Astyanax mexicanus: one gene and its partners. The protein of the gene in region 3 interacts with the protein of the main gene of each other region in a pairwise test. Links are inferred from orthologs where the notes say so. Each region holds a gene or a part of one and is shown on either strand. Other genes may lie near its edges.

Region 1 (7,223 bases), on a different chromosome or scaffold from region 3:
TAAAATATTTTAATAAAAGACTAAATAAAAAATATATATATTCCATTTATAGAAACAGAATTTGTTTGTTTCTATATGATTATAATATATATATATATATATATATATATATATATATATATATATATATATATATATATATATATATATATATATATATATATATATATATATTAGTCATCTAATGTATTGTGTTATTTTATTTTGGTTTAATTTCTACAAGATAATATACAATATATGGACTAAAGTATTGGGACGCCAGCCATTTTCTTCTAAAATTAAAGATATTTAAAAGAGTTGATCCTGCTTTTGTTGGAGTAACTGTCTCTACTCTCCAGATAACATGGAACCAATAGGTTCATGATTATTGATCTGCTGCAGAGAGTGTTCCTATTCTATTGGCGGTTCTTCTATTCTACAGTAACTAGACTAAAGCTGTTTGTGTTCATTTGCACGTCTGTGTCAGCAGCTCTGGGTGGAACTAAATTGAAGAAGCTGAATGCAGCATAAAAAATTATAGGGAGGGGTGTCCACAAATATTTGGACATGTAGTGAATATGTCAGCACTAAATGCAACTAAATATAATAAAATGCTCTTTGTGTTTAAGTGTACAAATACTTTTGACTATAATTTACCCTGAAACATTATAGTTTACTTTATTGCTATAATTTATTTGAATTAGAAAATATATATTCTAATGCACATATTTATAAGTATAGGGAATTAATTGGTAATTGTTGTGTTTAATGTAGCTTGTGGCGTCCCTCAAGGCTCTATTCTAGGGCCTATGAAGCTGTAGTTTTTGCAATCAGGCCTTACAGATGTAGTAATGTTTACAGATGTGTACAGGTGTGTTATAATAATCAGCTGTAATTTAATAATAAATCAGTAATAATCAGATTAATGGACGCGGGGAGGGTGCTATACGACCGCGGGGTGTTTTGTTGTGTTTTTGGACGCCATGATTTGTGAGCACTCACATCAGTGGCTTTCTTCTCTGCCAGCTCCAGCTTCTCCTGGGCATCCTTCAGAGCCTCTGAGTATTTGTCCAGCTCATCCTCAGTGGCCTTCAGCTTCTTCTGCAGAGCCACCAGATCATCCTCCAGCTGAGGGTCCATACAGAACCAGAACAGAACCGAGGGAGAACAGGGACAGAACCAAGAAAGAAGAAAGCTCGGATCAGTAAAAAGCTCAGATACTGTATTATAACACAGTTTTACACAATAAATTACATGACATAACCATCTTTATTACATTATTACACACTGAGCATGCATGACCGGGTCAGAACCGGGTCAGAACCAGGTCCAGACAGTACAGAAGAGGGGTAGTCGTGCTCCAGTAAAATCCTGTTCACTGTCTGGATCTGGATTGAACTCTTGAACTCCTGTGTATTGTATCATGCTCTTCTTTAAAAACAATGCACATAACTATTGGATACAACCAATAATAAATGCTCAAATAATTAAAAGTAAAATTATAAATTTAGATCACACTGATTTGATATTTTCCTTTTAGACAGGGTCTGCTTGTTACACTCGTTCTTTTACTGTACTTTTCAGCTGTGAGCTCATCAATAAACAATAACAATAATAATCAATCAATTGCACATCATTTCATCGTGTGTGCTGAGTCACTATATGCATATATGTATTGGCAATATGTTAGTTGAGGAACCAATTCAACAGTTTAATTCTAACTTGATTTTGAGTTGAAACAGTGGAAGAACAGCTTAAGGTTCTGTCATTTTAGAAGAAAGTGTTTCATCCACAGTTTGTACAGCAAGAAGAAGCTGTAGAAGCTCCACTGTGCCTCTGTTAACCCTGTATCTTCTACTATTAACCCTGTATCTTCTGTTGCATCTTCTGTTTTATCTTCTGTCAACATTGTATCTTCTGTTTTTAACTCTGTATCTGCTGAAGACAACCTGTTTCTTCTGTTGTTAACCCCTCAACAGGCCAGCATTTTTGTCAATTTTCTGCCTGATATTACACACCTAAATCTTAAAGATTTCTTTTCAAGCATCACATAAAACTGTTTAATGTTTGATAATACACGTTAGTACACATTCTAATTGTAATTGTAATAGAAATTATTTTTACAAAATGTAAGTAAATCTGCAACTATAAAAATAAAATGAATAACAGTAAACAAATAATGAAATTGGGACTTCTTAAACTTCATATTAAAATAAATATTTTCCTGAATACAAATCAAACCTGTCCTCCAAACCTTTTGTTTCGTTATGGTTGTTAACTGTATCTAACTGTTAGAATCTTCTGTTGTTAACATTGTATCTTCTTCTGTTAACCCTGTATCTTCTGTCATTAACTTTGTATCTTTTAAACTTGTTTTTTTCTTTTGCTATCATTGTATATCATCTTCTGCTGTTATTATCCCTGTATCTGCTGCCGTTAACTCTTTATCTGTTCTTTTAAATTGATTATTCTGTTGTTAACATTGTATCTTTTGCTGTTAACCATGTATCTGTTCTGTTATTAACCCTGTATCTGTTCTTTTTAACTTTGTATCTTTTTTGTTAACTCTGTATCTCTTCTTTTAAACTTGTATAAGCTGTTGTTAATCCTGTATCCGCTGCTCTATGAGTGAGTGAGAGTATGTTGAGTATGGAGAGTATCGTGAGCGGCGGGCTCCGACCTGTTTGCTCCTGTCCTCCGCTGCCTTCTTGTCTCCCTCTGCCTGCTCAGCCCGGTCCAAGGCATTCTCCTTGTCGAGCTTCAGCATCTGCATCTTCTTCTTGATGGCATCCATGGCTGCTGGTGGTGGTGTTGGTGCTGGACTGGGACTGGGACTGGGTCAGGCTGGTCCGGGCGGGTCAGGCTGGGTTCGGGAGAGGAGAGGAGTGTTCCGAGCTGAGCGCTGAGCTGGAGTGCGAGCTCACTCTGGACCTCGAGCTGTCAAATATGCGTGTCGGCGCGCGCTCCCCGGTTCCTGCAGGGACACCTGATACGAGGTTTGGGCTCGAGCCGGCCGGTGATTCGCTGTTTGCGGACATTTGACAGTTCATATCGCTATATATGGGGTGCACGGGGCGAGGCGCGCGCACCCCCATCACCCCCCCAACCCCCATCCTCACCCCAAAACCGACCTGATCCTATTTCCACACCCCCCTCATAAACCACGCCCACTTCTTAGACATGCATGCACCCCCCCACCACACCCCCACCCTAAATCTGCAAGGAGTAACCCCTTCAGTATCAAAAGTATCAGAAGTATCTCCATTCATTACTCCACTGTAGGCAGAAGTATAGATACTAGAGTATAAAATTACTTTCAGTTTTAAGTATCAACTCATTATGTTGATACATATGTTGATTAATATAATGAAATAATTATATTAATGTGCTTTTAATATATTTTAAGTAAGTACATAAATCTGTTAGTATATTTACAGCATACTTCTCAGTATGTTTTATCCACAATTAAGTATTTTTAAAAGTTATTTTTTCACCAGGTCCCCCTTCCCAAAACCCTTTTCAACATTTTTCTAAAAGATATAATGACTATAATGTTATATAATTTGGGATGCACTAGGCTGTTCCCTGTTTAACATATGTTTTTTTTAGTTTTAAGAAAACCACTCAAGCTTTTTAAGCTTTAAGTAAAAGTGTTTTTAAAAAGTGCTGGATTAAAAAAAACTACTTAAAGTATAAAAGTAAAAGTAATACAAAAGGGAAAATAATAAAGCCATTAAGAACAAAAGCTAAGAATAAAATTTTTCTAAAAGCCATAATGACTATAATTTTATAATATTACAATGTTAATGTTGGTAATATAATTTGGGATGCTCTAGGCTCCTCCCTAGTGTTTCAGCTGCATATATGCACCATTGTAAATGAATGTATTTTATTTAGTAGAATGTAAATATATTAATAGGCCTGTCACGATTTAAAAAAATGCGAACGATATATTGTCCCAAAAATTCTCAATTTTTTTAATTGTAAAAAGAAACAATGCAGCTCATAAACAATATATCAGACTAAAAGTATTAAACTCATCCAAATTATGTAGTGAAGTCAAAGAGAAAGTAGGAGGAAAAAATAATAATCCAGTAGAGTACAGATACAGTTTTGTAGTACTTAAGTACAGTAAAGAAATAAAAGTAATTACCAAGATAATTTGGTAACAAGTTAAAATAAGTATAACAGTAATTACAACAGAATGTTTTAAATAATTATTAATTCACACAAGTTAAGACATTAATGTTTGTTACTGGTAAAAGTAAATATATACAGCTCTAAAAAAATGTAGAGAAAGCATTTCTAAATCAGTTTCTCTAATTTTGCTATTTATATGTTTATGTTTGAGTAAAATGAACATTGTTGTTTTATTCTATAAACTACAGACAACATTTCTCCCAAATTCCAAATAAAAATATTCTCATTTAGAGCATTTATTTACAGAAAATGAGAAATGACTGAAATAACAAAAAAGATGCAGAACTTTCAGACCTCAAATAATGCAAAGAAAACAAGTTCATATTCATAAAGTTTTAAGAGTTCAGAAATAATCAATATTTGTGGAATAATCCTGGTTTTTAATCAGGGTCTTTTTTTATTCATCTTGGCATCATGTTCTCCTCCACCAGTCTTACACACTGCTTTTGGATAACTTCATGCTGCTTTACTCCTGGTGCAAAAATTCAAGCAGTTCAGTTTGGTGGTTTGATGGTTTGTGATCATCCATCTTCCTCTTGATTATATTCCAGAGGTTTTCAATTTGATAAAATCAAAGAAACTCATCATTTTTAAGTGCTCTCTTATTTTTTTCAGAGCTGTATTTGGTACATGGATTATATCTTAATGGCCCAAAATCTGACTTCAGTTAAAAGTTTAAAGATATCTATACTTAAACTAAGCATTTATTTTACAGAATACTGGAGCATAGTACAGACCTTCTACAAAATATAGTACAGCATGCTGCATCCACCACCTTCATTTATTAATTATTAATTAGACAAATATTTTAATTAGATTGGCAAAATACGCAAATCATATTATCAATAATTTAAAACTAGTTAAATTTGCTCTAATGTATCTTTACTATAGAATTAAGGAAAACGTTGTTTTGTGGAATCAGATTAATTGGAAAACAAATTTCATACGGGTTTATGAAGCATGTTTTATTGTTTTTAATATTGTGATGATTGTGTTTTTACCAGGTCAGTGTGATAGTTTCCAATATTCTATCAGTGATAAAACTCCTGCATCCGGACTGAAATTGTAAAAACAGGAGGATCAGTGAGTTTAAGTCTTTTTTCTCGGTCACATGACATCATGGAGTTCAGTAGCTCCTCCAATTCCACTCGCTGTTGTGTTTTTAAAGTGGCTCTCCGTGGAAACCGTGGTGCATGTAATTACGGTGCGCGGCAGTGGACAAATATCTATTTTATTAAAGGCGAGGAGACGAAACTCAGAGATGTGCGTCCGGACGGGACTAAAATTACCGGAGGAGCACGGAGTTCAGAGAAAAACAGTAGATAATTCAGCCTGTAATTTTCTCAGAGGACGTCTGAGAAAAACACTTACATGATAGTTCTGGACGGGAATAAAATCACAGGATAAAAAACCCATAAAAGAGAAAATTACCCAGAACCCCCTAAAATACTAATCCCATCCGGATTGAGCTTCTGTGTAATTCGGGTACAGCTGCAGATCCTGGACCCGGATTAGACTCCTTCCGGTTGTAACTAATAAGACTAATGAGATCAGAACCGGCGTGATGAAGAACTGGATCAGTGACAGATGGGATGTAATGAGGTCCTGTGGGTTTTGTTCACAGTCTGAAGAGTATTAAATGGGATGGTCCTCCTCTGTCAGCACTCGGATCGGGTTCTCCTGGGCCTACAGGAACGGGTCAGTCCCATCGGGCCCAGCGGGAAAACCAGAACCGGAATGTAGATTATCTCTCCGGCAGATCAGACAGAGCACTAACCCGTTTAATCAGACTAATTACACCCGGCTTCAATCCGAGCACACTGCTGTCTACAACCCCAAAACCCTGATAATCACACCCCCAACACTCTGATAATCACACTCTCCAAAACCCTGACAATCACCCCCAACATCCTGATAATCACACCCCTAGCATCCTGATAATTACACCCCCTGAAACCCTGATAATCACACCTCAACTAAATCTCTAATCAACACAAACTCGTACGATTAGCCACGGATTACTGACCAATTACTGACGGGGTCCAACACACACACCCAACACCCTGATAATCACACCCCCAACAACCCCCTGATAATCAAAACCCCCAACACCCCCATGATAATCAAACCCCCCAATACTACCCTGATAATCACACGTCAACTAAAGCTCTAATCTCCACAAACTCACACAATTAGCCACAGATTACTGACTGGCACCAACACTTCAACACACTGCCAACACATGTATCTGCTGAGCGTAACACTGTATCATCCAACACCCATTCATAATCAGATCACTGTAGTTGTAGTCTGATGGTCCCACTAGTCATGTAAACAAAATACTGAGTTTGTTGATACTTGATTTTTAAGGTCAGAGTAAGATGTATAAATATAATGATGGATTTGTTAAATTTAAAAGAGAGCTTGAATTGAGGTTCTTATATACTTTTAACCAGAGTATGTTTCAGTCTGGGCATGAGTGAAAACTCTGGAGGTTGATGCTGATGTCACTAAAAGTTGTTTTAGGGTCTTTCTTAAGAGAACTCACAATGTTTCTGTTTCATCAACTGTTCATCAACTGATTTCCTTTGTGATTGACCTGTTCAACGTCTGTTCCTTAGTACACCAGTGACGACTTTCTTCTTTAGGACTTTCAAAACTGTTGTTGTGGCTATAAACAATAGTTGTGCTCTAATAATTCTGATTGATTTACTTGTTTTCTCAGTTTTACAGCTGCTTTTTCCATCCAAGTTTATTTTTTGTTTGAATAATTAATGTATCAGGACACACCTGGTCAACAAAACACACCTGAGAGTCACATGATCCAATTCTTTTGCTGATTAGAAAAATGGGTTGGTTCAGACAGAAGGTGCTGGGATGTCTCAGTCTGCACAAAAACTTGGAGGTTGATGCTGATGTCACTAAAAGTTGTTTTAGGGTCTTTCTTAAGATAATTCACAATGTTTCTGTTTCACTAACTGCTGTGGTTTTGTTTGGTCTATCATCTGTTCATCATCTGTTACTCAGTACACCAGTGATGACTT
Region 2 (7,548 bases), on a different chromosome or scaffold from region 3:
TTTTATTACACTTATATGAGAAACAGACCAATAGAAATGCTATAAAATGCCTGAAATCACCTAATTTAAACTGACAAGTTTTTTTTCACTTTCTTCTGTTAAAACGGTTGCTGTTTTGGAGATACAAGTGTTAACAGCACAACAGTGACAATATACAATATTTCAGCGGTTCTGGTGGTACGACCAGTGGTATGGCAAAGCATTCCAAGGTTGTACACAAATTTATAGAGAATTAATCTGTATTTTTCATTATTTTGGACTTGGACTTTGAAATTGATACACCCTGTGTGTAAGCCCACACGTCTTTCTTTACTCTCATAACTACAGTACTAATTAATTATTAACATCGGTTTCATGGGCCCTACAGTTGAACCCTGTGGAACTCAATAATTTCCAGTCTAATTAACCTAGGGTTCACGAGGATGCCATGTAGACACTGTAGTTCATTACATTGTCTCGCACTCCTGCTATTTCCTCAGAGCTGTATCAGCAGGCATACTGCATTGACCATCAACAATATGCAATTGGCCAATTACTGGTACAGATATGGACAGACCACACACATTAGCCACAGTAGGTGGTACTTGGAAGTTTGCTCATGAATTTGCCTTACACCATAATATTTAAAAAGTAATGTACCTCCATATGATTCAATCACAAATTCAATCATTCTCTTTTGATATGCAGCAGAACTGGGAATATTTTCTTTCAGTGGAGTGGCCCTTTAGGGGTTAATAGTCTACTTGTCTTATATGCTTATATAACCAGGTGAAGAGAAATTCCTTCATGTGGAAGAATGCTGCTCATCCCACGGTCATTCGCTGTGCTTTTGGCAGTGACCGTGAAAAAGGATAAAGCAGACATACACACGAACATTCACTGTGTGGGGGCATAAATACATTCACCTCTGGATTTACTTACATGGTATTTTCGGTGGACTTGAACTAACCTGAAACAGCACGACTGTTTTAAAATCCCTTTATGGGATGTCCAGTAGATGTAGCTCTGTTTGAATGTGCTAGCTGTTATAGTTATAATAGCTTCTGTGTGTCCATAAATGCTATGAATATTTGCCATTGTTTATGGCTGTCTGTGCTTTTACATTATTAACACCTTAACAGGCCAGGATTTTTGTCAATGGTCTGCCTGACATTACACTAACATTTTTAATTCAAGCATTAAATAAAAAGCTTTAATGTTTGATAAGGAACATGACTGAAAATCATAATTGTAATTGTAATAGAAAATATATTTAAAAAATTAAGTAAATCTGCTGATGTCAAAATATAATAAATAAAATCAGAAAATCTTCCTTGAACTTAATTTTAAAATCGTATTTTAAATTTTAAACTTAATTTTCCTGAATACCAATCAAATAGTTAATGTCCTTTCCTTTCGTTATGTTTGTACAGTTTTTACAGAATTTGGGTTGATTCCTGTTACTAATCTGGAATTATTAAGTGGAGTAGAGGGTGAACAGGCAGCTTCTCCAAGTGTCCTTTAGGAGATTTCAGAATATGAATAACTTATTTTACTGCAGAAAAAAGGGTTTTGTATCACCTACACCTGTAGCCAATATACAGGACAAATATTTTAAGGGGTTAACCTATTTGCATGAGAATGTGAAAGAAAACAGATGGCAGCTGTGAAGACACATACCAACACCTTCAGCCAGATTTGATTTGAGGTGTGAAATAGAACATCAATTTTTAAGTGTGTGTGCCGGACCTGAATGTGGTCAGGAACGGCTGCTCAACCTGCTGCTGCCTAAACAGCTGTCCTCGTTCACTTGTTTAGTAGAAGATGCCCTGATTACGCTTGCTGTCATGGGTCTGCTCCAGGATTCTGATTATGAAGTCCCTAGTGAGCCTGGGCACAACACGAAAGCTCTGGATTATGGGTTAGGGTGGGGCGAGGGCGCCCAAATGCCATCCATGCCTAAACCTATTAGTCAGCGCAGGAAAGAACATGATGCTGGATACATCAGGACCAAACATCTGGGGAATCTGCTGAGAATGTGGTGAACATCTGGTACACAAGCCAATTAAAGTGTCTGAAACTGTGACATTAAGGGTCTGTGAACGAACATCTTTGGTGACCATTTACTGCCAGTGTGGCTGTGTGTCAATGATTTCACCCTGTCTCTAGCTGAGGTAATGTAAAGGATCCCCCTTTCTGGAACAGTCCATCTAACCTAGCTCGTTAGCTAACAGATGCATGAGGATGGGGAAGACTAGGTCAGTAACTCAGATGTTGATAAAGAAAAGGCTAGTTAACTAGCCACCTAGTTGAGAGAATTAAAATACTGTCAGCACTTCAGGCCACTATTTGCATAACGTCTTCCTTATCTTTTTGGTTCACACGTGGAGAAAGACAGAGAGGCTGATCCGCATTCATGCACCTCAGCACTGTTAGCCAGCGAGCTACATACCTACCCAACTACCTACGCCCACCAAAAGAGCCAGCCCTGAGCATAGCGCACGCTCATTTATTACAGCTAGCAGAAACGCCACGTTTTGCCGGTAATAGGCAATAAAACGAGAAATTATAAGCACGAGCGCTCGAGTCCGTGGCTCCACACACCAACACCAGCATTACCTCCTCTCCACCACCACCTCCTCCTTGCGCAGAAAAGCCTATTTCTCACCTCTTCAACACGCCGAAGACGTTCGCGCACATTATGTCTGAAGAGGCTCGTTTCCATAAGCCGTGCTGCTAAACTGCTGGACGCCTTGAGAGACTTCAGTACTTCAGCGATCGATGGCACGCTGAGTGTGTACAGTGCAGCGGCTCTGTATTCGGGGGCTTTTTAGGCTGTAGATTTGCGTTTAGTCGAGCTAAGCTGCATTGGCGCCCCTCCCATCCCATCCCACCCCACGCAGCCCAGGCGCAGATAGACAGACCGGGGGAACCAATTCAGAGAGCAGGAGGGAGCTGCTGCTGCTGGAGCTGCTGGGATATTACACACTCCACACACACACACACACACACACACACACACACACACACACACACACACACACACATACAGATGTATCTACAGTAGACACGACTATATATTAATATAACTCACGCTATTGCCCTCAAAACGTGACACACTTCAGAACAAGATACCACCAGTTTCCAGCCCTCTAAAGCCCCGCCCTTTTTGGTCTTCAAAACATCATAATCTGGTTCTTCCAGAAGACTATTTACCTTGGTTAGATGGTTTAATCTTTTATACACATGAATGTCAGTCACTAGCTTTAGGTCTGAGTGCTAGCTAGTTAGCTATAGATATCTTGTCAAAGCATTTTAGCTAACCTAACTGGGTTAGTTACCATGGTGTGTATATCTATCTCAAGGTAAAGCTGCCTAGCTAGCTAGTTACATAATACAGCTGGTAGGTCGGATTAAAAAAAACACCATTACATCTAAAAATGTATAGATGGGTTAACGTTACTTATGTTAGCTAGCTAGTTATAGTGATTTGGGCCATATGTGTTATATCAGTTTAAATGTAATGTAACATTAGCTAGGTTATCTATCCTAGGTTATATCAGTTTACATTTTATGTAGCTAGGTTATCTAGCCTAGGTTATATCAACTTAAATTTAATGTAGCTAGGTTATCTATCCTAGGTTATATCAGTTTTAATTTAATGTAGCTAATAGGTTGTGTATCCTAGGTTATATCAGACTTCATTTAATGTAGCTAGGTTACCTATCCTAGGTTATATAATTTAAATGTAATGTAAGTTAGCTAATAGGTTATGTATCCTAGTTTATATCAGTTTTAATTTAATGTAGCTAGGTTATATATCCTAGGTTATCCGTTTAAAAATGTAATGGAGCTAGGTTATATTAGTTTAAATTTAATCTAACTAATAGGTTATGTATCATGTGTTATATTAGATTTAATTTATTTACCTAGGTGTTGTATCCTAGGTTATAACTGTTATCAGTTTAAATTTAATGTAGTTAGCTGGGTTAGCTAACCTAAGCTAACTAGCTCAGCTAATTGATGTGATAAGAAGTTGATTTTATTTGACTTCTGGTTACACTTTAAAACTCTCAAACAAACAATAACAGAAAACTCACATTGTATAATCCGCCTTAGTAAAACAGAATTATCACGAAAAACACGTAAACAAATGTGTTTCAGCGCATGTGCAGAACCGCCCAGTATTACACAGCTTCGGGAAGCTGTATTTGACAGAACACCTTGATGCAAGTACACAGCCAAGATAGCTAAACGTTAACCTACATTACTCAGTTAACCACACCTATAAATATAGGATTAAAAATCTGTCTGTTTACTGCAGCTAGCTTGAAGGACTAGCTAGCTAACGGTAGCCTCGACCTTATATAAAATAATCCGCTTGGACTGAGAGATGCTCAATCCTTTGTGTGTCTCTCTCTCCCTGATACACACAACAAGAACAAGGTTAGGCGATGAGGAGCTCAAATTAGCACACAACAAGCTACAGACCAGCCTGTGTATAAAACCAGCCAGTCCTGTAAACAACAGACCCCTCACTTAATAACTAACGTTACATCTCAATAATTCAGCTTTAGCAAACTACCCACCTGCATAACCAGCGCACAGCCATCGGGACATCAGTGTGTGAGAGAAACAAGCCCAACGGGACCAGCCGGCTAACTCCCACCAATGACCAGCGGGGACAAAAACACCCGGATAGAAGATAGCGCTGTAGCTAACAGACAGCGAGCCCGAGTTTAGTCCATCGCTGTATTCAGAATGTATTCCACTGTTTAACGACAATTAGACATTTATATCTTCTGATTTTATGTCTCGTTTTTACTTTTTTTTTAATTGTTGATTTCTCTCAGACTTCAATACAACCTTGGGTAGCTAGCTAGCTAACTAAAAGTCTATAGCTACTCCACTGTTTGGTCACTACAGTCTTTTAGCTTCCTAACGTGGTGGTAATAATATATACATTTATATTTTTACAATATGGAGACTTAATATGTTCAGGTGTTAAGAGTTATCGTATTTTAAATTCAGTGAAACGTCTCGGTCGTCCAGTTCAATCACAACAGGAAAAGAGCGGAACCTCCTCCCGGAGATGAAGTGTGAAGTCGGGCACAAATAAAAAAAAAGTCTTTAATTGAGAGACAGAATAATACATTTATTATTATTATTATTATTATTATTATTATTATTATTATTATTATTATTATTATTAATAATACCATATATAATACATATAATATTGTTATTTTTAAAGTGAAATTATTAATATATAATTGTGCTAAAAAACATTACGTAAATACATAAAAGCGGACATTTTTAGGCAAAAAATAATTGTGTAAACGTTCACTGAATACAATTAAACAAAATTATTGGAAATAAAATGTAAATAAATAAGTAAACATTAGGTGATGGTAAATGAACACTAGAGTGATAAATTCATCATCTTCAGCTTTTAAAGAAGTAGTGTAAAATGTGGGGGTGTATCTACTTTTAAGTATTGTGAGGTTTAACCAAAAACATATTTGCTTACATGAGGTTTATTTTTTTATTATTATTATTTTTATTTCTTGGATGTATATATCACTGGCGCAGTGAGCTACGAATTTGGGGTGACTTTTACTTTGAAAGTTGGGTAATGTACCTTTTTTCTCCCCTCATATTGTGGCTGCGCGCTCTGCTGTGCCGACACGAGAGTAGTGTGTAGCTAAGGTCACCCTGTGTGTGTAAGGTCTGATAATAGACGGATATTTAGTAGATATGGAATAGGATTAACTAAAAATGAATACACGAGCTGTGGGCAGTTTGTTTTTCAGGTCTCAGCGTTATGCTTCTGGTGTCCTAAAGATAAGGCACCACTGCGCGGGCCAGCCACAGGATGAGCTAGCAGAGGTGTGTATCTGTCGAGCTAACATGATCCCCTGTCAGCAGCTTTTACGTCTGTTAATATTGTCAGGCAACTTTAGAGCTGGACAATATATCTATATTGTATCGTGTCGACATTTGTCGAAATTTCCGGATTCTGTTTAGCTGGTTGATGTGCAGCAAACATTAAAAATAATCAATGTACAGTGTAGCATTTAAATAGCAGATTCTGCCTCTGCTGATGCATTTTGTCTGAGTGTCAAAATATTATAAATACTATGTATTATAAAAAATGTTTTTAAATACTCTTATATTAATTTTCTTACAATATCTTAATCAGTGCATGATCACCTAGATTAAGGTGGTGGCTTTTATATTGTTAATATTGATGATAGAATTGAACCCTATGAAAATTAAGAAATGTATTGTGATATAGATTTTTGCCATATCCTTCAGCCCCAGGCAGCATTAAAGACAAAAACATAAATGTTAAGGGACATTTTGTTTATGTTTGTTTATGTTTGTTTATATCTTATCCTCTTTGTTATAGTACCATCACCTGAGCATATCTTGCGCTAAAATATAATGAACCTTTAAACAATCTGTTCTCATACATTATGAATATGCTCAAATGGTAAATAAGTAACTATACAAATAAAAATTAAACCTACAACCACCGTTCCAAAAAAAAATTGGATGCTGTGTAAAATTAAAGTTAATAGAAAAAATAAAAAATTAAAAAATTATTAAAGTTAATAGAACTGAACGCAGTGATGTGCAAACTTCATAGACCCACATTTTATTCCCAATAGAGCACATAATATATAAGATGTTGACAGTGAGAAACGAGGAATTTGAACTTGAGATTTGGGCAACAGAAGACTGGAAAAAAACAAGCTAGATGAGTTAGTTATTCGCAAGTAACTCACATGACAGGGGAACAACAAGACTATTTCAGGCCAGGCTGAATATTTTGCTAAAACTGACTTTGGATATCCCACCATCTACATAATATCATCAAAAGATTTAGAGAATCTGGAGAACTCCATGTGTGCAAGGAACAAGGCAGACGTTAAGGTTTAGATGCTCATGATCTTTGCACCCTTAAAAAAGCAAAACAACAGGCGTGATTCCAAACTAGAAAAAACTACATGGGCTCAGAAACGCTTTACAGTAATCACTGTCTGTAAACACAAACTGAATCATGCAAAAAAAGAGACACCATTCAAAAATGTCACCATCTATTCTGGGCCAAATTAAAAGCTGCTCTGTCATCAGATAAATCAAAATCTTTTTTTTTTTTTTTTTTTTTGAAAACCAAGGATGTCATGTCCTGCGGACTCAAGAGTTTAGGGACCATCCAGGTTGATATATCAGCACACAGTTCAAAAGCCTACATCTCTACAAAGTCACAACAGCATGCTTCATAGAAGAAAAGGCTCTTAGATCTGCTGTCCAGACACTTCACCAATAGAAAACATTTGGTATATTTTAAAACAAAAAATCAAGAATTCTCCACCAGACAAAAATCGGACATTTCCCACAACTGCTCTCCCAAAAATGTGGGTCTATGAGATTGCATTCTGTTTTTGTTTACATTTTAAGTGGCTCCAGCTTTGCACAATATTTTTATGGTTACCATGTGTAAAACATATTATCATTCAAATTATTATTTCAATTGACATTGTTCTATAAACAGGGGCAAAG
Region 3 (7,695 bases):
AGGGTGTGCCATATTGTATTGTTCAAAACTATCACAGACATTTCTAAAACAATAAAACAATAAACTTATTGAAACCAGTCTATTTTGTATTTATTTATTAGGGGTGGGAATCGTTTACTATCTCACGATTCGATTCGATTCCGATTTTGGGGGCCACGATTCGATTCAAAATCGATTTTTGATTTAAAACGATTTGAATTATAAAAATTTCTGCTTCTGGCTTATGAATCTTATTGAAAAAAAAAACCCTCCATAATATACACTGGTCCTGGAGCAGGTAATGTGTTACAAAAACAATAAAATGTGCAGGAATGTGGGTCCTCAGTGACAGAGAAATCACTGGGATATCACAATGACGTTAATGAACAATAAATAAATAATAAATAACACTGCTTTATTACCAGGCTACTAGCGGTGGTGTGTAGGTGACGCTGCTGGGCTGATGTGATGATAGCAGTGGAGCGCTAAAGTTCAGGAGCAGCTGCTGATTAACTAGTTAATTTAAGGTCGTTGTATTTCTTCAGAAAGGGGGCAGGAGGTGGAGAAATTAATTCATATGGTCCATTCCTTAATTCCTCTGTGATGAGGAGCTGAAATTAGCTCTGATTAGCTTATTGTTATTTTTCCGTTCCGCCTTAAATGCTGCAGCCCGCTGCCACCTGTAGCGTTATTTAAGGTGGAACTGGAAAGTTAGCTAGTTAGCTAGCTAACAGTTACTGAAACTAACTACTAGCGATCTTTTTTATGCTTGTTATGAAGCATTCTGCCATAAAACATTGAAACTACACGTTAATCTAATGTAATATAGTGCTTGTTCTGCCATCTTACCGGTGATTCTCAAACACCTACGCTCTGTGTGTGTCTGGAAGATCTCCGTTTGAAAGGACAAGCGCTATCCCCAGGGTTGCCAGGTCCAACAAAAATACCCAGCCCAAAATCAGTCTAAAACCCGCCCCTCAGAATCGATTTTGGGACATTTTAAATCGATTCTGAATCGTAGTAAATGAGAATCAAGATTCTTATGTGAATCGATTTTTTGGCACACCTCTATTATTTATCTATTTTCTGTATTTATTACTGTGTTATTTGCTGTACACATTAGTTTTGTTGAATATTGTTGTTCGATTACTTTTTTAAATATTTTTAATTTTGCCAGATTACTATTTTACACATATTATTCGTTACTGTTTACAAAATAGACTGTTTATATATTTTTTTAGTTTCTACTGTATTTATGAAATTAATTCATACTACATAAACTTTTATATTTTGTTTTGCAGTAGAATATTCTTAAAATTAATTTCAAATGTTGGGCTCAGAGGGGTCCAGCAGGCTAAGGTGCTGCCACTGTGATCAGGAGATTGCCAGTTCGAATCCTGTTCATGTAGCTTGTCATCGGCTACCTATTGGCCTTGCTCTCTCTGGGTGTGTAGATGATGCTCTTTCTCCTTATTACTCCAAAGGGTGATCAATCGGCACAAGGCAGCACAATAGTTATCGCAAAAATACCCTCAAACACTGTGATAATATTTTATTGCAATATAGGCAACCCCTATCTCACACAGTAAATGACACAGTCTTGCCTTTAAAAGAAATTGTTGGTAGCTTCCCAGCCTGCATGCATCTGTGGGGCTTATATGGGTGGAATGTGGGCTACGTGGTGAGTTTGAAGTGTTACTGGGACCCAGGTGGGCTTCCCAAATGGCCCACCTTTTCAAATAGTAAAATACGTTATTTACATTCTGAAAATGTGTGGGCTTTGTAATCTCCTACAGGACATTTGGAGAAGCTGCCCTTTTTTCTCTACACTTCCACATCAGTAACAGAAATCAACCCAAATTCTGCAGGTTTAAAAACAGACATAAAAACTAGACAAACATAACGAAACCAAGGATTCGGAGGACAAAGTGCCAAATGTATAATGGTTATTCATTATATTTGTAAAGTTGCATATTTACTTTTTTTAAATACTTTCTATTACAGCTACAATTAGCAATTATAGTAACGTTTATTATCAAACATGAAACCTTATTATGTAATGCCTGAATATAAATCTTCAAGATTTAGGTGCGTAATATCAGGCAGAAAATTTACAAACATTTTGGCCTGTTAAGGGGTTAAGCTACTTACACAGGCCTCACACGGAGTTGCTAACTGAGTAACTAATTAGCTAGCTAACCTACCTAGTTTATTTAGCTAGTTAACTCTAGCTGTATGGCTAAAACTACTTACTTCAGGCAAAACAGCGGTTTAACCCTAACTTTTAACTAAATTTACGCGGTAAAAACTTTTAGTTTGAGCTGTAGTTAGCTAACCTAGGCTAGCTAGCTAACTTACCGCAATGTTAGCTAGTTAGTTAGCGCACTGAAGCCTGACTTGCTTCATCTTGAAAACAGCTTAGCTAGTTAGCTAGCTAATGTTTCCAGAAAAGAAACTGAAATACTTGAAGGCATTTCGCGTTAGCTAATAAATAATTACGCTAGTTTAATAGTTAGCTAGCGAATTCAAAACGCAACAGAATTAGAAACACTAGTTAGCTAACTAGGTTAACTAACTATATTCGCCTTTTAGCTAGTTATTTTTCCTGTAACGTTCCAGTCCACCTTAAATGACCCGTCAGTGCGTATAAGTGAACTATCATATATCTGAACCAAACTGATAAAATATTTAAGGTGGACCGGATAATTCCAACACCAATACACATGTTTTATAGCCACAACAAATTAGCCAGCAGACTCCACATCGTTTCTATCAGCTGGTAGAAGCAGAGACAGGTCAAAAACGACCCGAATCGCACACGGTGCATTTTCCAGCTTTTCTCCGTGTAAAGTTTAAATCTTTAAAAGATAAGCTCGCCTGAAGTCTGAAGCTCAGCTCTGAATCTGAATCTCCCTCCTTTCCAGCTCCGAGCTGCTGCTGCTCTTCCTCTATGCTCAGCCGGAGCGGATAATCCCCTACAGCGGGCCGAGTCCGCCACCTAACGAGCGGGACGCGGCGTTCACTCTGAGGACAAAAATAATGGGACACCGCCTCATTTAATTTAAGCGTAAAATAGTTTATCCTGCTTCTTTAGGAGTAACTGTCTCTGCTGTTCATATAAGACTTTCTACTAGATTCTGGAGCATTTCGATCAAATCAAATTGATTTATAAAGCGCTTTTTAGAACTGATGTCACAGAGCAGCTTTACATAAATGTGAACGCAGAACACAGAACCAGACAACATTGAGCATACAATACAGAACCCTTAGTGAGTGACAATAACAGGAGTGAGTGACAATAACAGGAGTGAGCGCCAGCAACAAGAGTGAGCGCCAGCAACAAGAGTGAGCGCCAGTAACAGGAGTGAGTAGAGTCCTCTCGTTTAGTGATTTATTAGTGTAAATATTGGTTAATGTTAAACACCCTGTCCAATTCTGTTTGGTTAATAAATTGCGATGATAATAAATTTGATCAGTTTCAGGGTTGGGTCTTCTTGCTAAAATAAATTAACTTTGCATATTTTAGAAAAATAGAATGTGCGTTCATATATAGTATTTGTTTGTCAACAATATTAATTATTTAAACATGCAGTCAACAATTACTTTAGAATAAACACTTTCTTAAAAGAAAATGAAAGGAATTAGTGGACATGCTTTTTAAATGTTACATGAATTTTGGTAAAAGGACTGAGAAAAAAATGTAAACATCTTTGTAAAAAATTGCTACATGCTACATTTAAGTGCTTTTATAACTTGATTAATCTTAAATCTGTTTTAATTCTTTTCTTATCTTTTTTATAATAATGATTATTTTTTCATAATCTCCCTTTTTTTTCAGTATTAATATTATTATTACTTATGAGGTTTGTGTCTAGTACTTAGTAAACTGTATGGCTCTTTTTTGTTGAAGGGCGGGATTTTATTCATAAACGGGCTCCTTGATTGGCGTTAAGGGAAATCCCATTCATACATTCCTCAGGCCCCGCCCCCTGTGAGCTTGAAAGGTATCTAGTTTATGATTTGTACATTACTGTATTATTATATTTTTGTAATGTTTTTAAGCACCAACATGATTCTGTAACATTTGTAATGTATAAATAAATATGTAAAAATATATATATAAAAAAACTAAAAATAGGCCCCTCCCTTTCCTCCGCGGCCGAACTGTAGTAGTGGGTGACGCGGATGTGGAGGACGTGTCTGCTTCCTGCTCTGCTGAGTTCTGCTGTTCTGTCTGTTCTCTCACTTCTTTCACTTCTCTCTGAGTATCACTGATCCTTTTATCATCTAAAGATGAGCCCCCCGCAAACAGACACCTCCACCCTCTGTCTGTTCGACGTGGACGGGACCCTGACAGCAGCTCGGCAGGTAAGATCACTCACTTTAACTGTAGTGTGTTCATCTGCGGAGGAGCTGTATTGGCGGTGGGTAACCCAGCTCCAGAGAGTAAAAATCCAACCCAGGGTTTTGTACCAACTGCCCGTGCTGCTCAGCTGAAGCTGAGCTTAATCATCAGAGCTGCCCACACAGTTGGTACAAAACCATGGATTGGATTTTTATGTTCTGGACCTGGGTTACCCACCTCTAGTGTATATGAATGCTTTAGCTACTGTAGTAACTTAGTATCAGGTTTTGAATACAGATGGGTGAGTCTCAACTGTCACCATGTGTGCACACTATATAGTGCACTTCCCTGCTGAAAACAAACAGCAGGCTCAGATCTCAAGCTGATTGAGCTGATTCAACCTTTTAGAATAAGACTAGGATGGGATATGATGATTTAACTGGTCTATGATCAGCCTTTCCAAAGTATACAACCACCATGACCAGCATGGCCAACTAAGACCACTTGGTAAACCAGCATTATCAAATAAGTGTGATCAAATGCAACATGTAACTACTATACTGACCAAAAGCTAGTTAACCAGCTAGCTTCCCAATTATAGTGGGTGTTTTCACCAGACTGACCAGCAGTTCAAAAACCTTATCAATCAAAGACCAACTTAGACCTTCCAAAACCAGCTACCAGCAGAAGCTGGTCTTCAGACTAAAATAGACTGTAAATAGACTGTAATGAGCCATTCCACCAAATGGGTGCCATTTCTGTCCCCAGTAAACTACATTTATAAATGTGCACACAGAATAACAAAATACAGGTGCTGGTCAACGAATTAGAATAATTTGAAATAGTGCAATCATGAAATTCTTTGAATGCATTTTTTGTGCAGAAAGCAAATCAGGTGTTCACCGCACCTGTCCTACTCGTTAGACTAATCACAGAACTCGTTACCTGGAAAACAATTTGCTCAGCTGAGCTTTCCAAAAGGCCCATTTAGGCCATTTAACTGTGACACTGTTGTTTTATTGAATTAGAATAATGGAGAAAGCGTTTCATTGAATTAGAATAAATGCTCGAATTTTTGTTTTCTCCGAAGAGTGTTCACTGTGCAGTATAAAGTCAGGGTTGAGTAGAATTTCTAAGTTGTAAAATCAATCATGGGTAAGCAGCGCGACCTCTCAACCGGAATAGTGGCTCAAATTCAAGCCCTTCGCCAACAAGGCTTGACCCAAACTAAAACTGCTGAGCAGCTCGGCATCAGCCAGTCTTCCGTCTGCAAAGCTCTCAAGAAAAACTGCAGCAAGCGCACCAACTGTTCCGGCGTCCGAAAAACTTCTGCTCGCGACAACAAGCAGCTGAGAAAGATCACAGTCAGCAACCGGTTCAAGTCATTGACCTAATTGCAAAGTAAGATGTAATAAAAACATTAACAAAAAACTACTTAGAATATTGAAAAAATAGCATTTGTTACCTGTCCCCACTTTCTAACTATAATTATTAAAATCCTTCGGAGATGTATTTTTTTTTGCATTGTTGTGTGACTCCAAATCCAATCTATACTTTATTTTTTTTTAATATATAATAAATCCACAATATTGAATATACACGTTTTATTTGTGTCGCTGGGTTTCACTCAGTCCTGTTACTGTACCACATTACCCTGATCATCTAAAACATCAGGAACATTCTACAACAGGAAGTCACATCTACAACAGGAAGTGACATCAGCTGGTTCTTCTGAAGACTATGGGAAGACCAAAATTAAGATTATTTGTTTTTCTGTATATTTAATTTTATTGTACTTAAATGTGCCCAGTGCCCTTATCTGCCATTTAGCTCTTTTTCATGTTTTTGCTAATTCTATGCTAAAAACTCATTCCTGTTACTTTAACAGGAGCGAGTTCCAGTAACAGGAATGAGTGCATTAACAGGAGTTATTATTTATTTTATTATTTGAACATGCAGTCAAACATTTCTTTAAAATAAATACTTTCTTGAGAGAAAACATAAGGAATAAGTGGACTTGTTTTTAAACAACAAGCGAATGGCACCCATTCGCTGGAATGGCCCTAATGCTGTTAAACTAGTGTAGCAGTATGTGGTTTTGAACGCAGCCCAAAGTGAGTCTCAGTTGTCCCTCTCTTGACTACATAGTGCACCAAGTAGAGCATGTTTCTGTCTAAACCTGCGTTTGGGAAAAGAACATGATTAATCATTGACACCAGATGCAGTCAGTCAGCTGAGATATTTAGGAGGATGGTGAGAGTCATGACCTTTGTGATCTGTTTAGTCAACCAAGAAAACCAGCAGAAAAATAGTTTAACCTGGAGACACAGTGATTTATACACAAGCTGCTGTAACTGCTGATGCCATCAGAAGTGGCACTCAAGTATTAGTGTTGTTAAGAATTAACAACATTTTGGGATATGGACCACGCCTCAATTTCCTGAGCTCCTCCCCCTAGTCCTACCTCCGAGGTGCTCCTCACTTTGTGACTTTTGACCTTGCACCCACCTCCACTCCATCATCACCCTCATCTTCATCAGCTAGCTGTGGGGGGACCTGGCCTGAGAACCTTCTCAAGCTGTTCTGAACTGTACCCCAAGCAACATAATCACAGTAACACATGTTTCAGTTCTCTGAAGCTCATTTAATATCTAACATAAAATATCGGATGATTGTACTCTCTCAGTTAAATCTCTCAGTTAAATCAGTTAAAACCCCGATTATAGTATCAGTTCTGTGAAAAGAGATTTACTGCATTGGTTTAGGATGAGTTTATATCATTATTCATATATATATATTCATTGTTAAGTGAACTGGGTGCATTCACATGAGACCTGCTGTTCCAGATTGAGGACTGGGATTGTGGTCTGGCTTGTTTAACTGGTTAGTAAAAGTATCCCAGTGATCCACCTTTCGCACTGGTCAGACTCCCTACAGCTGTCAGTCTGGAATGTGGGCGTGTCTGCTGACAGGAGCTGGAAGCAGTGTAACTTGTTATTCAGTCAATATCAATAAAGCATGCCTTTTGTGTTAGCAGTATAGTTGTTTAAATTTCATGTAAACTATATTTAACATTTTGTTCAAGATGTACACAGAATGAACACATTATTTCAAATATAGAGAAATGTTAACTTTCACTTTAAATCAATTAATAAATCTTTCTGTGGTTTAAGGGTGATCCTCATTTTCAGTGCAGCCAAGCAATTGCAATTATGCTGAAAATGTATTCTGTGTAGTCTGAAGTCTTATACATGTAAAATACTGTTACCTATTATTAAGTGATTAAAGTTCTTCACATAGAATTCATTGTTGCATTTTATTTTTTCCCCTCTGTTTTAGAAAGTGACTCCACAGATGCAGCAGTTCTTAAC
Region 4 (7,720 bases), on a different chromosome or scaffold from region 3:
TTTTTCAGTTGTTTCTTACTTTTTAATATAGCTATAAACTATTACATTACATAATTTGGTAAGAATTTATGAATCATTAAAAAAGACAATAACACTTTCTTCTGACACTTTGCTTTACAGAAGGTACTGGAAATATGTTTTTTGTGTTTTTGATTTCTGGCTTAAAAAGAACCAAAATGATCTCTGGCCCATATTGTTGTTAATAAATAAAAATCGGATTAATAAAAAAAAAATACTGGTGCTTTTTTTTTGTTGTTTTGTTTGTTGTATCATATAAAAAAGATGATAACAACATAAAGAAGAATTCTACCTTGGATTTTTTAAAATAGATTATTGTTTTAAGATCTGTTGTTGTGAGGATGCAAGTGTGAAAAGCCTTTGTAAACCTTTGTAAATTGATATGACCTCACTATAAAGTCTAGATTATTAACATATAGTAAAATACAGTATTGTATGACTTTTTGTTTTTTTCTAGAAAAGTAAAACCAACGCAAGAACTTTACATTAAGACCTGTTCAAATATGCAGGAGAAAAATAATTTTCATTAGGATGTAGTATGTTTAAGGTGCTGTTATCTCAGCATGGCAGTCCCTGTGCTACTGTCTGTTCTGGGGTGAACAGATTCTTCAGATCCTTTTAGACGCTCTGATTTATAACCCTGGAGCTAAACCAACAGTCCACACAGTGGCCTTGTGGTGACGGCCATCCCCCTGGAGCACACACACACACACATACACACTCCCAGCAATGGCACTAAATAAGACTCTGTGTCACCTCTGTGGCACTCTCGGCCTGGCAACGGAAAAATGATGGACAGAACAGAGACAGAGAAAGGAAGAGGGAGAGGGGGGAGAGGGTACAGAGGCTTGTACAGATACAGACAGACAGACTGAGGGTGAATTTTGGGGTGGGGGCATCATGTCTCATTGACATCATGGTCAAAAGTGGGAGAAGAGACAGAGGCAGCTGTAGATGAATAGAGGGAAGAGAATGAGAGGAATGGGGGGCCAGGGTGAATGGAATTTGGAAGACGGACTGGTGGCCAGTTTGGTGTATGTCTGTGGGGACGACACTTGTGTTCTTTGAGGGATTGTTAGCACTTACATCAGCGGCCTTCTTCTCAGCGATCTCCAGTTTCTCCTGTGCGTCCTTCAGGGCCTCGGAGTACTTATCCAGCTCATCCTCAGTCGCTTTCAGCTTCTTCTGCATCTGAATCAGCTCATCTTCATGCTTTGGGGGTGGGGGTTGGGTTGGAGAAAGAGCAAATGTGGAAAAAGTGTGAAATGTTAGCACTGTGATATCATGACACCCCAATCCACACTATATCTATCCATCCCAATATACACAGTGTTTTATCCTCCCCTCTGCACCTCCTTAACCATCCAAACTTTGCACCCTACAAAAAGCCTGAAAGCCACAGGGCAGCCCCTTCATAGCTTTATCTCAACACTATGTGCTCTAAATATCTTTGTCTCAGGGTTGTCCCTTTCCAGTCCCCATCCAAGGGGTCTCTCCTTCCTCCAGATCCTTCGACAAGCACATCACAACATTCGGTGGATGGATGTCCCTGGCTTTCATCGTCTTGTCTACAGTTACTTGTAGCATGCGCTGGTGGCCGTCTCCACTTTCCGTGTTGGTTTTGGGTTGTCGCTGGCTTCTCAGCAGGCTCCAACTTTGATTTAAAGGCCTACACTTGTCACTTGTCAGATGCCCTCTTGCCCAAGATGACTAGATGGGTCTTAACACGGCCTATGGAATTTATGATGCTGGCTTAGGGCAGAGTTACACCAAGGCTTTATGCAGTCTTCGGCATCTGGTTGCTTCTACGCCTTCCACAGCTTCTAAATTCAAGTGGCTTCCAAGCAGGGGTGCAAAGCTCCAGTCCTGGAAGCATGGTTTTAAGCAATGCTTGGTAGTTGCCCTACTCAAACAACCAACTCCGCCTGGAGACCATCCTTCCAGAACTGGAGTTGTGCAAATTAGTCCCACCTGCTTGGTATTGCTACCCACTCAATGCAGTTTGTAATTGCCGTACTTTGCCTGGTAATTAATAACTGAGGTGTTTTTGAGTAGATAATCTACGCAGTTTTGCTAAAGACTGACCCACAAGGACAAAAGGTAGTTGTGGACCCCTGCTTTAATGCATTAATCCCACCAACTAGCTTGGTCTTGAATGCCCCCTCAGTGTAGTTTTAGGTGAATTAGAAGCTAAACTGAACAGTTTAACTTTGCAATGTTCATTTTCCTTCAGCAACAGCCAGCAACTTGCATATGTTCTAAAATATAATCTCATATTTGACGTGTTTCAAGGCATCAGGTTGCTTCCACAGGTTGCACTCCAGTTCTGAAAGGCCTATCTCCAGCAAAGTTTGGTAGTTGCCCTACTTTACTGCTTTCTCTACCTAGTTATTAATTGATGAGTTGAAGTGGTGTGTTTAAATAGAGCAAATAAACATTGTTGGAGACAAGCCCTCCAGGACTGGAGTTGTGGGCCCCTGCTTTAGTCCCCACTTAATGGAGTTGTAGGTGAATTTAGAACCCAAAATGACCAGGTAGACATTTGCAATGTTTGCAAGAAAGCCATCTCTGACTGCTACCTTTGCAGAAACACTCTAAACATGTCCTATTTAAGCCTATCTAGATACATTATGCTTGAGGCATCTCACCAAAGGTCCTCCTCCTTATCTCTCTCTCTCTACTTCTCTCTTTATCTCACCTGTTTGCTTCTGTCCTCAGCTCCTTTCCTGTCGGTCTCAGCCTGCTCTGCCTGGTCCAGAGCATTCTCCTTATCCAGCTTCAGCATCATCATCTTCTTCTTGATGGCCTCCATCTTGGCTTTGGTGTGTGTTGCTCACGGTACGAGAAGAAACTGAAGAAGAACGATGAGCGATGGAGGCGAGCGGAGGAAGAACTGGACGGAGCTCAAAGACCTTGCAGGGTGAAAGCGACAGGGAGAAAAAGAAAGAGGGAGGGAGGGACGGAGTGAAGGAATGGGAGCCCAAACTCAGCAAGAGATAGGGGAAGGGTCTTTATATCAGGGGGGACATATTGCTCCTCCTAATTTAGCTAGGCCACACCCCCTGGCATTGCCCCACCCAGCTTTATCTCTCAGTTACTCACCTAATAGAGGCATAAACCTGATCAGGCAGTTCATATTAATGTTTGGTGTTTTAAAGACTTATTGTTTACAGCTTTTCTGTTTCTGAAAGTTGGATCATTTGCAAGTATTAGTGTTTGGTTTTTGAGGTTAAAAGAGCAAATTCGAGGTCATCTTTGTCTCTGTCCTTGTAGCCCTTGAAGCTGAAATTGTCTTTTTTTTGCTATTCAGCTTGGTCACTTTCTTTGGACAGTTTTTTGGGGTGTTCTAAGTTTTTAGTCCTTAGTTTTTAAAGGTAAGGAAATAACAAAGCCATTATAATTAAAGGCTAACTGCTACTATAGACACTCTAGACAAAGAAAAGGACAGAGGGTGATGATGGACAGAGCAGGGCTTCGGCTATAATAAGACAAAGCCCTTGCATTTGTGACAGGCACAGGTGTGTACGTGTGACGCCATAACCACCACCCCCCCTCCACCCCCCCCACCCCTCCCCCCCCCCCCCCCCCCACCAGCCGTGCAGTACACTTATGGCCTGTCAATCGGCACACTGATCACTTTACAGCTTTTTTTTTTCTTCACTATGAGCCTCGGCTCTTATCTGTTTGACTGCATGCAGTATAGTATACTGTATCATTTGAGAATTTCACTAGCAGTAGTACCAACATTCATTAAGGAACACTATACTGAGAATATCGTTTTAGCATGGCCTCATGTTGCTTTCACAACATCCTCAGTTCTTTGTGGAATGGATTCTACAAGGTGACAGAAATAGGAAATGTTCTTTTAAGATTCGGAACCATGTTGACGTGACTTTGCCACTCAATACATGCAGATTTTTTCATTATATCTCGCAGCATGCTGCAAATACAATGTTCTACTACTTCCTACTTAATGGATTCAGATCCAACGACCTAGGAAGGTCACTGAGGAACACTGAACTAATGAAACCCATTTTCTAGACAATAGCATATGAATATAATCAACCCTGGAAGCTTTGTATTAATCAAAGCTAAAAAAAAAAAAAAACAGTTTCATTGTAAAGGAGCTTTGGCCCAGAGAACAGAACAATAACAGTGTTTTGGATGCTGTTGATCATCATTCAATATTGACTGATTAAAACTAGGGCTGTCAACATTAAACTCTTAACGCATGCAATTAATTTTGAAACGCATTCATTTGTTATTAGCACAAATTAATCATGTGACAAAATTGACAGAGCCTGGTGAGGCCGTTGAGTGTGGAATATGGAGCTACACTAGCATTTATTTTCTCCAGTAAAACTCTCAGTTAAACTTAGTAACTCAGCATATTACAATATTCTAGTTTACAAAGCATCAAAATGACCCTGATATATTATAATACAGTAAGGGATCTTAGTCCACCAGGTGTAAACCACACTACAGTTTAATTACTGTACCCTCCCCAAAATACAGTTAAGTACCAGCATTAAAAAATATATTATTTAATCCATTTAATATTGTTGTGATTAATACAAGTATTTATTAAGGAATTTGCACTAATAATACTTAATAATAGGTTTTAAATGTATTATTTCACATTTAAATACCCATTATTAAAATCTGAGATCTGAGAAAAAAGTTAGATTAATTGTGATTAATCACAGAATTCTTTTATGATTAATATGATCAATTTTTATCTACTGACAACACTAATTAAATCTTAACAGCAAGCCTAGGGTTCTAGGAAGGATGCATGCATTATTTTTGTTGCAATATCACTAAGTCTGTTTTTGTTAAGATAATTAATCATCAAACCAACATTTGCGTTTTTCATAAAGATTCATTACATTATTTTTCTTTTTTTAATATTTTATTTAGGACTGTGAGCGCTACCATTATAAAAGCAAAGATGTGACAATACGCCTCATTGAGACTTTTCTCTGTTACACTTAATAAAAAAGATCTATTTAATATAAAATAATGGGCTGTGCTTAGTCTGAATGCATGGAATGAGCCTCAAAATGGCCACAGGTGACCTGTTTATTTTTAGGGTTGGAGGATGGGGCAGACACAGACCTGGTTTTAGGTCAAAGGTTAAGCCCAGGATAGACTTTAACAATACAAGGAGGACCCCCTACTGAAAATTCAGTTCAGGTCTTTGATCTAAGAGTTTTACATCAGATGTGTCAAAAAATTATTACAAACATGATAATAATTACACAATTATAGTTTCATAAAAGTGTAGAACATGATGACATGCTGAAACATTACACCCCGGAAGATGCTATTTTTTTATTTGCAGCATAAAAAATATTTTAAAACATTTTTATGAATAGTATTGTTTTTTATTTAATGCTATTTTATGCTCTACCACTTTCCAAAGTGTTTTTATTATTAAAAGTATATTTAGAAAGTTGCCCCCCTCCTGCACCTCGCTGCTTTTTCTTTCATTTCAATTCTGTCCATTTTCTCTTTAATGCACACTTCTCCTGTGAGATGTAGGAAAGTATACGTGTGTTTATGTGTAAGTCAGTGACTGTAAGGGAGAAAGAGAGGGGAGAGAGAGAGCAAGAGAAAGAGAGCAATGGTCAGTTAAACAGGGACGGTCCCAGGACTGTTTTGTGTGTGTGTGTGTGTGTTGTAGATATTAATACTCGTCTCTTGGCTGACATTGTCCTGTGGATTAGTCACCGGCTAGAGTGAAACATCTAGGTTTCAAACGTATCTCTTTTTTTCCTAGCATCCCCCTCAGGCTGCTCAGTTTGAGATTGAATCTGTTAAATGTGGTTGGTGTATCAATATATTCAGTTTGCCAGAGGTTCAAATATAAAGACTCATTGAAGGATTACTTTATATGTGGTTTAACTTCAATGGTCTCTCTTTCAATCTCTCTAACTATACATTTGTGTGTGTGTGTGTGTGTGTGTGTGTGAGAGAGAGAGAGAGAGAGAGAGAGAGAGAGAGAGAGAGAGAGAGAGAGAGAGAGAGAGAGAGAGAGAGAGAGAGTGAGTTTGTGAAACAGTTTAGGAACAGTAGGTCTGTCCTGGAATTAGTCTGCAACCTGGAACTAAACAGTAGACGACTTCAGTGCCTACTCACAGGTGGGCCAGTACTACTGACTGCATCACTCAACATCTCAACGTTAATAAATTAATGTTCTTAGATTTAAAGACCCTCATAAACCTGTAATTAACTCACTGATATTTAATAATAAAAAATCTTTCTCCACTTCACTAGCATGCAAATAGCCTGTGGTGCTTTGTATCAATGACACTGTGTGTCCTCATAAAAAGGGCAAAATACATTTTCACACTTTTGCTAACTGCTAAATGTAGTGTGAATGAGTACATGAGTCTGAGTTTGACAAAGAAAATGTGCCAGAAAATGTCTGTCTGCACTAAACTAAACTTGTAAAGTTTGATGGAGGGGGGATAATTCTTTTGGAGTGTTTTTTTTTTTCACAGGTTTGTTTAAACCCCTTAGTTTCAGTGAATGTAAATCTGAATACTTTACAATAACAAGAGATTTTAGACAACTGTATTATAAAGTATTTTTGTTAGCATTTGGGGCTCAGCCCTTTTCTGTTCCAGCATGACTGTGCCCCAGTGCACAAAGCAAAGCCCATAAAGGCAACGGGGGCAAAGGGGAGTTTTGTGTAGAAGAGTCCCGACTTTAACCCCATCCAACACCTTTAGGGTAAATTAAAATGCTTATTTTCTTCTTAAAATATTTTATAAAGCCTTTATAGAAGTGTGAAACCTTTTATAGCTGCCTATGAGTAACCAGCTTCATATTAATGCCCATGTATTTAGAATGGGATGTCATAGAAGCTCCTGAGATGTACCGTAATGTGTAGGTGTCGAGACTACTGGGTGGCGAGACCTGTAAAGCTAACTAAACAAAACTCTAAATCTTAAAAAAAAATCTATTTTCTTTTAAAGTCAAACGAGCACTAGATATTAATCTACACAGATTTCTCTCCTAAAAACTGTTTATTTGGGTGAGTAAAGTGCTAACATTTATTTACAGTAAGCTTAGATTTCCACTAAAACTGGGTGCAGCAACATTAGCATTAGCAGCTAACCGCTAGCGCTAGCCACGGTTAGCGGCTAATGCCACCAGACAGAGCTACACTGAGTAACCCCAAGTGTTCCGGTAAACCAGAGCGATATTAGCTAGCAGTTAAAAATCCCATGTAGCTTGTTTTAACACGGTAAACACAGACTAGAGTCCAATATACTCACCTCTGAAAGGCGAAAATTTAGGTACTTTGCTTTTAGCGGCTAATGCTAATGCTGCTTCTGCAGTGCTAGCCATGGTTAGCAGCAGGCTACAGGCAGATAATACTCACCTCTGAACGGCCGGTAAAAGAGCTAGTGCTTTTTTTTTTTTACCGCTGCTGCTGCTTTTTTTTTAATGCTGCTGCAGCCTCGGAACTGCAGAAACTTCACTGAAACTCCTGTATAAAGCTGCACTTTAGTGGAGTGGCTTTACTGCTCCTTACAGCCTGACCGGTTACATTCATAAGGTGCACCGGATTTTTGGAAAAATGTAAGTATTTTAGATACACCTTAAAGTGCAAAGAATATGGTAGTATATATAACAATAAAGTAATGTATCTAACAGTGCTAACCATTGAACACAGGTAGTGAAATAAACA

The links.
Region 1: the proteins of mad1l1 (region 3) and tropomyosin alpha-1 chain interact in binary tests that used the Homo sapiens proteins (3 or more experiments, as listed by UniProt). The two-hybrid records come from large-scale screens. The link is inferred for Astyanax mexicanus from reciprocal best matches to the Homo sapiens genes MAD1L1 and TPM1.
Region 2: the proteins of mad1l1 (region 3) and bag5 interact in binary tests that used the Homo sapiens proteins (3 or more experiments, as listed by UniProt). The two-hybrid records come from large-scale screens. The link is inferred for Astyanax mexicanus from reciprocal best matches to the Homo sapiens genes MAD1L1 and BAG5.
Region 4: the proteins of mad1l1 (region 3) and tpm3 interact in binary tests that used the Homo sapiens proteins (3 or more experiments, as listed by UniProt). The two-hybrid records come from large-scale screens. The link is inferred for Astyanax mexicanus from reciprocal best matches to the Homo sapiens genes MAD1L1 and TPM3.

What each region holds. Positions count from the first base shown.
Region 1 is NW_026040053.1:189,387-196,609, forward strand, and holds the start of tropomyosin alpha-1 chain, read right to left. Parts: upstream 3,009-7,223; 5' UTR 2,774-3,008; coding exon 2,660-2,773; intron 1,108-2,659; coding exon 982-1,107; intron 1-981. UniProt on the Homo sapiens protein: Binds to actin filaments in muscle and non-muscle cells. Plays a central role, in association with the troponin complex, in the calcium dependent regulation of vertebrate striated muscle contraction.
Region 2 is NC_064414.1:30,076,039-30,083,586, reverse strand, and holds the start of bag5 (BAG family molecular chaperone regulator 5), read right to left. Parts: upstream 3,018-7,548; 5' UTR 2,680-3,017; coding exon 2,648-2,679; intron 1-2,647. Other genes in the region: cytochrome c oxidase assembly factor 8, read left to right, coding at 5,758-5,868. UniProt on the Homo sapiens protein: Co-chaperone for HSP/HSP70 proteins. It functions as a nucleotide-exchange factor promoting the release of ADP from HSP70, thereby activating HSP70-mediated protein refolding.
Region 3 is NC_064428.1:4,219,304-4,226,998, reverse strand, and holds the start of mad1l1 (mitotic spindle assembly checkpoint protein MAD1), read right to left. Parts: upstream 3,005-7,695; 5' UTR 2,857-3,004; intron 1-2,856. Other genes in the region: pmm2 (phosphomannomutase 2), read left to right, coding at 4,273-4,347, 7,664-7,695. UniProt on the Homo sapiens protein: Component of the spindle-assembly checkpoint that prevents the onset of anaphase until all chromosomes are properly aligned at the metaphase plate.
Region 4 is NC_064410.1:30,817,072-30,824,791, forward strand, and holds the start of tpm3 (tropomyosin alpha-3 chain), read right to left. Parts: upstream 3,017-7,720; 5' UTR 2,831-3,016; coding exon 2,717-2,830; intron 1,231-2,716; coding exon 1,105-1,230; intron 1-1,104. UniProt on the Homo sapiens protein: Binds to actin filaments in muscle and non-muscle cells. Plays a central role, in association with the troponin complex, in the calcium dependent regulation of vertebrate striated muscle contraction.